Linked DNA regions of Drosophila melanogaster. The protein of the gene in region 3 interacts with the protein of the main gene of each other region in a pairwise test. Each region holds a gene or a part of one and is shown on either strand. Other genes may lie near its edges.

Region 1 (3,755 bases), on a different chromosome or scaffold from region 3:
TTTCATCTGGTTGGGCATCTCCCACGTCGTGTTCCTCTGCCAGTACATCAATAAACTGAGTTTCTGGCGCCCAACGTGGGACGTCAGTGGCATTTTGGGACAGCACATGCATCTGTCGCACTCTTGTGGCTCCACACGCGCTATTCAACTGCAGTTGCACTTGTGCAATCTGCGCCTGAGCCTCGAGCATTTGCTTTCTTAGCTCCTCGGCCAGCATTTCGGTCAGGCCATAGTTGTTCTCCTCAATGCCTTGCTGTTGCATTTGTTGTTCCATTTGATCACAGGTATTCACTTGCTGAAGCTGCTGACAAGGATACACATTCTGCATCTGCGGCAGAACTTGCTGCTGCATCGACTGCTGCAAATTGTATGCAAATGCTTTGCCAGACTGCTGCTGCTCCTGACACTTGAGACATCCTTTTGGTTTCACATTGGGACAGGGTGGATTTCGTCCACAATTTCGTTGCTGTTGCTGGAAGCAAGATGGTTGCTGCTGCAAGCAAGATGGTTTCTGCTGCAAGCAAGATGGTTTCTGCTGCAAGCAAGATGGTTTCTGTTGAAAGCACGGTTGTTGCTGTTGAAAGCAAGGTTGTTGCTGCTGAGGACAAGATCGTTGCTGTCCAAACCAATTACCATTCTGTTGCTGCGGACAACCCGTGCACTTATTGCACCTCGAAATCGATGGCGGTTCGTTGTTCATGTTATCATTTTCACAATCGAGGCTGAGGAAATGTGCTTCGGTAACCTGGCAAGCGGTGACTATTTCCGCTTCACCCATAATTTGGTGTTCCTCATCGCATATGGTCACGATATTTCCGCAATTGGGGACGTCGGATTGAAACCATTGGCAAGTACCAGGACGATGTCGTGTGGGATACTCTCCTCGAAAGCAGGGAATTATCTTCGAGTTCGATGGCTTCGGTTCCGTTTCTGGTATACATTCTGTGGGCTTTTCTTCCTCTATTATAAAATTGGTTTTCGTTTCCGGTTTCAAGTTCTCATGCGTTTCCGGGATTGAATTATTTGTGTCTTTCACTTCTGTTTGCTTGTTTTCTTCGGTCAAACTCGGAACTCCGGAAGGTATCTTTTCGAACTCTTTTTCTCTGGCCTTGGCGACGGATGCCTCACTAACCAGCTCTGGTATCTTATTGAACTCTTCTTCCCTGCTTTTTGCCTTCACTGTGGGGGATTCATTGCGACGTTTGGCTGAGGCCATCATAGACTGACCAGGAGTCTTTGAATTGGGTGGATCTCCTCCCAACACTGGTTTCACCGGCATACCCGCCTTCAATCGAACCGATGCCTTGGGCTTACTGTGCGACATCAATGGCACAAACTCTGGACTTCCCATCGATCTGCAGACACTTGCCTGCCGGCGACGACGAGGTGTTGGTGGGCAGGATGATCGGGAACGCACGGCTTCCTGTCCAGACGGTAAGCTCTGAGCCAGGGCTCGCACCAGCTGCTGTCCGACTCGATTGCTGTATTGCTCCGATGCTATGTTCCTCCTCGGAGGAGGACTCGCATGACGCCAATAGGGACTGGGCCTGGTTGACTTGACTCCGTCATTGGGCATTTCTTCTTTTTTCCCAAATACAATTTTTTGTCTCAGTTATACAATGCTTCCGTTTAAATTTGTTTTTTGGCGTGACAAAGAATTTTGTAATGTCATTTTTTTGACCAAAACTAAAAAGAGAGTTTTGGTCGACATAAATAGTAAGTTAAATAAACCAAGGAAGTCTTTTTGTTTACAAGGTTTCTCTTATATTCATATCATATTATAATCTGTAAAGAACACATATATGAAGATGGTAGCACCACTTTCAAAACGTTGTTTTATCACAACTGATCATGCAATGATTTTAACAATATAGTCTTAGTTTAGGACATCAAAAATATAAATTGTACCATTTACTTCTACTTTTTTATGATTTTGACTACCGATGTTATGTTTGTGTACTCTTCGTAATTGACCATGAGTGAAGGTGGACTTTTAAACAGAACCAGGAGTTGAAAATGTGCGATCCATGTCGATATTTAAGGAGGTGCATAAGCTGCCATGGCAATGGCTGGTAAGTATAAGAATATAGTTAGTGTCTCAACCCAATTGCATTTATACTCATCCGCAGGTGCTGTCCTCGACCAAGTTGCTGTGAGCGATCTTGTTCCTCTAATATGAGGAATTGTCGCGTCGTGTTTTCTGGGGAGTTCCAAAAGTTTTCGGACATGGTGCCGCCCAGTTTTCTTCTAAAGACGCCAGAGCGCCCAAAGAAAAGGAAACGATCGAAAAGTTGCTCAGCCTGTGGGGACAATTGTAAGGATCCGTGTTTAAACATGGATGCATGTGCGGAGAGTTGTGAGAATCCATGTCAAGATGGTAAGAATGGATGCAAGAATCCTGAAGATTGCGCGCAAGACGATCTAGCTAGAACTGGAGCCTACGGAACAGGCTTTGGCTTCCAACCGGGACAACCGACTATTATTCCGTGTTATGGAACTTACGGACCGACAGGAAATCCAATGATTTTTGGTATCCCGCCACCGACTCAATATGGAGGCTTTGGTGTACCTGGTCCCATAGTTCTACCAGTGGCTCCACCATCCTCGGTAGGTCAGGGTGATCCAAGATCTATTCCAGCGGCAGGTCTACCCACACAGTACACAAATAAGTTTAATCCCTGTACCGGAGAAGTCTACCAATGCGGAGATCGCCAAATGCCACCTGGAAGGCCACAAGGAACGGCGCAAGTACCTTCCTATAATCAATTTATACAGGGTTTAGGCATGAGCTGTGCCCCCAATAGTCAGTATATTCCATTCGATGCAACATTCCAACAACGTCCAATAAATCAAATGCCAGTCACTCCTACCTCAGGAGGAAGTGCACCAGCTTATGGCCGAAATAATCAACCAATGAACTGTGAGCCCAACAATCAGAATTATAGCTATACTGTTCCCCAATCAACGAATCAAGTTCATGTTGGTGCTAACAGATCTGAAGTCTATAACCAGCAGAGTCAAGCCACACATTCAAGGCCAGTTCCCCAATTGGAGTCATCAAAGGGGCAACTGCCTCATGGTAACAACAGATCTAAATCTCCAAATCAACGAAGCCCATCTAGGGGAGATCGATCAGGCAGAGCTTATGCCAATAATAATTTTCCTGAAAATGTTCATGCTAGTCCAGGTGCTCAGAGGTCCAAGTCGCTCAGTCACCGAAATGAGTCGAGGGAAGGTCGTTCCGGAAAACCACAAGCCAGTAGAGCCACAACCAATTATCATTCTAATAGTGGTGGAGATAGAAATGTAGATCATAGGTCCGCGCCCAAGTCAATGGCATCCGCTGGTGAAGTGCGTTCTCGTGATAACAACAGATCGTACGATTCAAGAAATCGTAATAAATCTGTAGGAGCACCTACCAATCGACAACCCGTACTTTATGACCAGCAGAGGGTGGGCATGGGCATTGATCCATCCAATCAGTATTATCCGTACAATGAATGCGCTCCACTTAATGCCACATTTGTCCAAGACCATAATCCTTTTTATGCTCAGCCAGGACATGACGTGAATAGAACGCAAGCAGCAAGTGCACCAAACTTATCGAAGGCAGGACCCAAAAAGGATAAAAATTCGAATAAAGTTCCATCAAGCTTTAAACCATCGAAGGAGAAATCCACTAAATGCTGCTGCACTCGGTTCGATCCCAACAATCAATACTATCCTCATTACGTTTCCGAAGAATCTGATTGTCC
Region 2 (3,755 bases), on a different chromosome or scaffold from region 3:
TGACCACTCGATAAATCGCATTGGCAATTGTCCAAATTGAGGCACGGCTTGTCCTGGGGATCAACACAGATCTTGGCACACTTGGCTGTATTGAAAGTACCCATCCCATCGTATTCAATCCAGCACATGCAACCGGCAGTGCAATTTGAGTGCGGAACCTCGCTGGTTGATGTCTGCAGTTGAGGGTCTACAGTTGATGATTGCAACTCCACAGTTGTGGTGCTGTATTCATAGGAGTCCGTCGTGGTTTGTAACTCGCATAGTCCGTTAATATTCTCATAGCCCACGTTGCACTCGCACACATTCGGTGCCACACAGTCTCCGAATTGGCAGCCTTTGCAGATCGGCTGACACATAGAAGTGACAGGATTTGTGCTATTGAGCTGATAGCCATCGTGGCATATACAAAAATTGGGTGCCACACAGTGTCCGTTGCTGCAGCCACTGTCGCAAATAGGATCGCATTCGTGATGGGAGTTGTCCTTGAAGCGATAACCCGGATCGCAGGTACAGGTTTCTGGACTGGTGCACTTGCCATGAACACAGTTTAGGCTGCATTTTGGCTCACAGACTTGATTGGGACCCATTTGATAGCCAATACTGCAAACACAAGTCTCCGGTGCAAAGCAAAAGCCGTTGGTACATCCCTTGCTGCACTTGGGTACGCACTTCTTGTCCGCCCCCGACGACTCATAGCCCGGAAAGCACTCGCATTGGTTGGGCGCCACGCAGTGTGCGTTATCCGAGCACTTTTCGCAATGCGGCTGGCAGAGATCATTTCTCATTACGTAGCCCGGCTTGCAGACACAAACGCCGGGACTCAAGCATAATCCGTTCTCCGGGCAAGTGGAGCACACGGGTCGGCAATTGGTGCCTCCGTCGTCACCGGCATATCCATTTTCACACTCGCACACACCTGGCCTCACACATCGGCTGTTTTGGCCACAATCCTTTGGGCAAATGGGCGAGCAATTGCCATTTGAATTGTTCTTGTATCCATCTGGAAAGACGGTGCCGTTTCCCACTTTCTCGTACCCAGGTTCACATTCGCATTTCCCGGGCTCCGAGCAAAAGCTATGGTGTCCACATTCCTTTTCGCAAACTGGAAGGCAATTGTCGCTGGGAGAAGTTCGTTTGTAGCCATTTTGGCAGCTACAGACTCCGGGGCGATCGCAAAACTCGTTTTTTCCACATACCGTTGGGCAAACGGGATGGCAGTCGATACCGCCGTAGCCCGCATTGCAACTGCAAGTATTGGGGGACGAGCAGAATCCATGTTGAGGACACTGTTGTCTGCAGACAGGTTTGCAGTTCTCAACGGATCCTTCGTAGCCCTCACAGCAACTGGGTCTCATTACGGTCCTGTAGGCAGTCTAGAGAACAGGAGAAAAAGCCTCTTTAAAGGAAACTTTAACTACACACTTACCAAAGCTATAAATAATAATATAAATTATGTACAAATTCGAATTACCTCATCTTCATAGACATATTGATGCCTGTACTTAGTAACCCAACCATGAAAGTATGAATACTGTTGAAACGGAACCAATTTACTTTTAAGAACCTTACGGTTATACGGAACGCTTTCCGGGTGACTGCAATCATTTAGGCCATGCCGTAAAATGGCGAAACTTGTGCCAAAGGACAATGACAGACACACAAAATGCAGTGAAAATGCAGTAAAATCCATGAGTAATGCGAGTCAATTCGTTTCCTGAAGTATATACCATATATATATTCACTATCTTAAAGCAACCAGTCTGTCCGATGAATTAAACAGAACTGGACCCTCAATTAATGTAATGTTCTTTTCTCTTGGATTTTTAATGAATTCCAGATAACGAGCACACTATATCTTCGTTTGCTTTGTACATAGGAATCTTTTAGTATTTTATAATTATTTGTATTATTAGCTTTAGGGAGACTAGTTCCGTTCCCCATTTATATTTTACTCAAAGTTTTGTATTTACCTCTTCGTCTGTATAATACTCGGTGCGGTATTTTGTCTGCCAACCACTCCAGAAAGATCTATGCTGGTATGGTATCACTCTACTCCTTTCGACATATCTCTTGTAAGTAACCACCTGCGATCGGTTACAAACATTCAAGCCGATGGGTTGAATGAAGTCGACGAGTAGCATAAAAAAACCCAGACACACCCAAAGGCATTGGATGTGTGACATTATGGAAAGAGCAGAAATCTTGTAAAATTCAGCTTTGATCTCTATGTAAATGAGTTCGGCGCAACGTTTCAAATTCAACTGAGCTGCAAATGTAAATTTATATATTTCATGTTGCTCCAAAATCAGCTACATCCGTTGAGGACTCGACAATCTAGACCTATACATATAAACCGCTTGGGATTATCTGAGCATTTGTTTATCCCAATATTGCAAGCAAAATATGTAAGACAGAAGCAAACGCTATAATGTTTCCTTCAACTACTGTATATATTTCATCAGCCATTCAAATATGCCCTAGGTTACTAAAGATACTTAAATTTATTCTAAATGGTTAATTTCATTGCGGCTAGTCGAGTTGCAACATCAAATGTTATTGCTTTTTTCTACAAAGAACAAGACCGTAAATAAATAATAATTGCTTGATATGACGATTGACGACCGCCTGCAATAATGATTAGCTCTTATCATTTATATGTTAGAACTGTTTATGGTGAAAGTGTGAGTAGTTTACTCTCCCAGAGCACTCACTCAGGTATCTCGGTGATTCCACACTGTTGAATACCTCTCCCAAATTCAATGAGCAGCTACAAATAGAGCAGAGTATCTGATTCCACAACAGACGCCGTTTAGAACTCGTCGCGCGTGGACGTAGATTTTAGAGCGATCGAAAATGGTTCTGATTACTTTGACCCTGGTTTCGTTGGTGGTGGGCCTGCTGTATGCCGTGCTGGTATGGAACTATGACTATTGGAGGAAACGGGGCGTTCCTGGTCCCAAGCCAAAGCTATTGTGCGGAAACTATCCAAACATGTTTACTATGAAGCGGCATGCAATCTACGATCTAGACGATATATACAGGTGAGTTATCCCAGCTAGAAAGGTTATATTAACTACCAAAATTCAATGGATCATCAACTGTTTCACAAAGAAACCAAGAACCATTCTTAAAACGCATTTAAAAAATTACGCTTTACTTGAATTTAATGCGATCATTTTATTCAGGCAGTATAAGAACAAGTACGATGCTGTGGGCATTTTTGGCAGCCGCTCTCCACAGCTGCTGGTGATCAATCCCGCGTTGGCGCGTCGAGTCTTTGTGTCCAACTTTAAGAACTTCCACGACAATGAGATCGCCAAGAATATTGACGAGAAAACCGATTTCATTTTCGCCAACAATCCGTTCTCGTTAACTGGCGAAAAGTGGAAAACTCGAAGGGCGGACGTAACGCCTGGTCTTACGATGGGACGGGTGAGGCAGTTCATCCAGTGGCAAGCCCGAAAAGTACTGATCCAACCAATATACATAATTACAGATAAAGACAGTCTATCCGGTGACAAACAAGGTGTGCCAAAAGTTGACCGAGTGGGTGGAGAAGCAATTGCGTCTGGGTTCTAAAGACGGCATCGATGCCAAGCACGTAAGATTCCATCTATACTATCTGTTGTACGTATTCTATGAAACCAAACCTGTTTTTTTTTTTTTTTTGCTACTTTATCGTCCACAGATGAGTCTCTGCTTCACAACAGAGATGGTCACCGATTGTGTTTTGGGTCTGGGCGCTGAAAGCTTTT
Region 3 (3,755 bases):
ATGAAAGTATTGGGAAAAACTAGTGGGGAAATGAAAATGCAGGGCTTACTAGATAGATTTAAAATTCGATCTTTCAAATACGCACATGGTTTTTGGTGATTGTCGACGGTTTGCCTACTCGATCTGTCGAATACCCATGTGGTTTTCGGATTATCGGAAAACTATTTTTTCAAAAATTAAAAAAGTAACAAGAATATGCCTTTCGGGACCAATCGGTCGCCGCCTGCAAATTAAACTCCTTAGTACATAAATGATGTTGCATTAGCAGCTTAAATATGGAATTATTAAATATCGATTCGAGTATGGAACCGAAGGCACTAGAAATTCTAATATCTTTGATGGAACCCTATTGCCCATCCAGTTAATTAAAAATCAATGATTGAAACTTTTTTAGTTCTTGTATTTCGTTCAACGTCGGTCAGTTTGACGTGGATTAAAGCTTTATAATAGGCGTCCAGGATAACTGCAAAGGTTGGACATGGACAAAACACCTAGGCTCCCAGTGCCACCAACGGGATTATGAGTACAGAGTCCTCAGTCTTATGGAATGAAAATGTGGGAGGGCCATAAGCGAGAGACATCCCCGGAGCTCCGGTATCCAAATTGCCGGGGATCAGCACTTGTCAAAGTCCCAGCAATCGCACTCCTTGGAAGGATTAGGGTCAGTCTGTTTTCGCTTGCACTCCGAGTAGCTCGGGAATGGTGTTGGGACCTTGGAGCAGTTCTTCCTCTTCGCGGAGCGCTTGCAGCTGGGCTCCGGCTTGCATTTATCCTTCGAATTGGAGTTGCACTTGGAGTCCGAGGTGCCGCCCTTGGAGCTGGCACAGCTGGCCAATCGGACGACGACTGGCATTAGGGTTTTCCCGCAGCGTTTTAACAGCATTTTGAATTTGGAAAGTGTGGATTGTGGATTGTGGATTGTGGAGTGCGAATGGAATGAATTGGCTATTTTGGAAAACTGTAATTTTGGTGGATTGTGAGTTGGAAAAGTGACCGGAATGTTGTGGCCAGATGTCGAATGACTGTGCTTTCGCCGCCGCCTACGTTTCGCCACACTTAAGGACTGCCCCCTTGCCACGGGCGATCCTTCGCCTCAGCTCCGCCCACATCTCGCAGGCCATGGGAACTCGAAGGCATAGGCACTCTGTAGGTGGTGCGTTAGTGAGCTCCTCCCGCTTGCATTCTGAGAAGCTGGGATACGGCGCCGGGCGCTTGGTACAGTCGGTAGGTCGGCGTTCTCGGTGGCAACTGGGCGGAATACGGGCGGGCTTGCAGCAGGGAAGAGTCCAGCGCGGACAGGGTGAGGAGTCCTCTGCCTTCTTGCACTCCATGGGATTAAGCATGGGCATCGTGGGACGGGCTGTGGCCACCACCGTCTTCCGCTGACGGCGGCAGGGCTTCGGACGCGGTCGCTTTGCGTGGATGCACACCTTCTTGGGCTTGATCACCAACCGGGGGCACTCGTTCCACGTCACCTGGTACTGGCGGGCCTCTTTGTCCGATATGCGGTAGTGCTGGATGTCGTACCGCACTGGCACATCGCACTTTGGCACGTACTCGCAGTCGGGTATATACCACATGGACCTCATCTTTGCTGGCAGCTTCGGCTTGTTGGACTTTTCCTTCTTGGGCTCTTCCTTCTTCTTGCGCTTACCGCCCTTGACTGCATCGCAAATGGTGCCCTTGAACCGAGCAGGACCACAGCCCTTGGAGGTCGATACCTGATCGCAATCCTTTGGCCGCCCGCAATCATCGGCGGAAGACTGACTGCTGTAGTTGCGGCGTAACAGGTGCTGCCGGAGCACACTGGAGCCAACGCAGTCGGCCGGGGTTTTGATTTGGCTCAGATTCTTGGACCAATCGACCTTGAATAGAGAACAGGCATTTACCAAAGACTCCAGGCACGGCATGCTCCGATCTACGAGGGAACGACATTTCTGACGCAACATTCGCAACATATTGAACCTTTTTACCAAATTTTGTTTTACAAAGCCGAAAATAGTCGAAAATATGTTATGTTAGGCCAAGGACTGAGTGTAGACTAACTAAAACCCGACATCCTCAGCTCGGAGTGGGCATTCACAGCATACTTTATAGGAAATTTGGAATACAAATTCTAAAAGACCTCTAGATATATCTAAGCTACACCTGTTGTACCAGTTGCAGTGCCTTTTTTTTCCCCACTTTTGTGAGGGTTCCTCTTCCTCATCTCAATTTGCTTTTCAGGGAAACGAGTATATAACTTAAGATATACATATTTTAAATATCTTAGAGAATTTATAGTAAAATCTATGAAGTTTTGCAAACTTGTGGGAATGGTATTATCGTACCCGCTACTAGTAGAGTATACTAAATACGATGAAACGTAAGTAAATGGCAGAAGGATGCATTTCCGACTCTATATACATGTTCATTCCCAATCAGGCCATGTCGGGCACTTAAAAAGGTATGCAGGTTGGATTGACCAACCAGACTCTAAAGACGTTAGCGCAGCACAAAATGGTTTTGGTAGAATTTGCCGCAGAACCTGTCTCCAAATACTTTTCGCGACCTAAGTGCTGAAGAAAATTTTATTATACTTTTTATTTTATTTTATATTATATTATTATATTTAGAGTAAATGGGTATACTAGATTCGTTTAAAAATGTATGTAACAATCAGATGGAAGCGTTTCCGGCCCCATAAAGTAATATATATACTTTAATCAGACTCAATAGCCGAGTCGGTCTGGCCATGTCCGTCTGTCCATATGAACGTCTCGATCTCAGGAACTATAAAAGCTATAAGGTTTAGCATACAGATTCTAGAGACATTGACGCAGCGGAAGTTGACCCATGTTGCTGAGTAATGGCTCTTGTTTTTATTTGGATTTCAGTTTATTTTTGACCAATTGTAAATCTATTTCGTCACAATTTTCGTACTAGCAGAATAAGTGGTATGTGATTTACGGAGAAAACGACTGTAGGGTTTTTTTTCTTTTATGTATAAATATGGAGTACTCTGCGCTAACAGAGTATTTCCTCTTTCTATATAATAATATTCTGAAAAGGATGCCTTGAAATTTACTTCGATGCGATGTAGCCATGTCGAATAACTTTGTATGCCAGTTCCTCTCGGCCTCTTCCAAAATTCACATCGGCTCCGTTGAGCTGATTGTGTATTCGGTTACAAATTTGTAGTTTGGTCATTTTTCGGTGCCGAGGGATTTTCATTTTTGTTTCGGGATTGTTGTATTTAGCGATACCTTTCTTTCCCCCCCGAGAAATTTATATCAGCCCGTATCCAGCCATGTCTATGTGGCGCAGTATTGGAACGAAAACCCAAAATCGAGTAATACCCAGCTTTGCGAGCGTGGTCTGCCATCGCGCTTTCGCAAAGGACCACAATCCATCTCCAAAGTGCAGTGACAGTTCTGGAAAGGGTTGCGGTAATTTTACCGCTTGTGGAGACCCCCGGTTCGCGAAGAAACCACCGCCGAAGAAGGAGGACGGCTTCCAGTTCCATCATCTGGTGAAGCAGCCGCCGGAGTGCTGCACCGATCCCTGCGCGGAACGGTTCCCCCCGTACGACCAATGCTACTACAAGATCTCTGACAAGGCCACGCGCAAGTACCAGGTCACCTGGGTGGAGTGTCCGCCCATAAAGATAAAGCCCAAGAAGATCTGCTGCTACGAGGCGGGAATTCGTCCGCCGATCCCAAGGCGCAAGCGCAAGAAGTTCGTGACATCCGCCGAGTGTCCCACGAATGTCGAAT

Evidence for each region.
Region 1: the proteins of CG2127 (region 3) and CG17666 interact in a two-hybrid assay, tested with the Drosophila melanogaster proteins (one large-scale study listed by BioGRID).
Region 2: the proteins of CG2127 (region 3) and NimC1 interact in a two-hybrid assay, tested with the Drosophila melanogaster proteins (one large-scale study listed by BioGRID).

Annotation. Positions count from the first base shown.
Region 1 is NT_037436.4:12,779,446-12,783,200, forward strand, and holds the start of CG17666 (uncharacterized protein), read left to right. Parts: upstream 1-1,879; 5' UTR 1,880-2,016; coding exon 2,017-2,072; intron 2,073-2,129; coding exon 2,130-3,755. Other genes in the region: CG10969 (uncharacterized protein), read right to left, coding at 1-1,576.
Region 2 is NT_033779.5:13,974,507-13,978,261, forward strand, and holds the start of NimC1 (nimrod C1), read right to left. Parts: upstream 1,749-3,755; 5' UTR 1,691-1,748; coding exon 1,472-1,690; intron 1,374-1,471; coding exon 1-1,373. Other genes in the region: Cyp28a5 (cytochrome P450 28a5), read left to right, coding at 2,854-3,041, 3,186-3,432, 3,497-3,601, 3,689-3,755.
Region 3 is NT_033778.4:8,367,963-8,371,717, forward strand, and holds CG2127 (uncharacterized protein), read right to left. Parts: upstream 2,077-3,755; 5' UTR 1,959-2,076; coding exon 1,041-1,958; 3' UTR 382-1,040; downstream 1-381. Other genes in the region: CG8701 (uncharacterized protein), read left to right, coding at 3,290-3,755.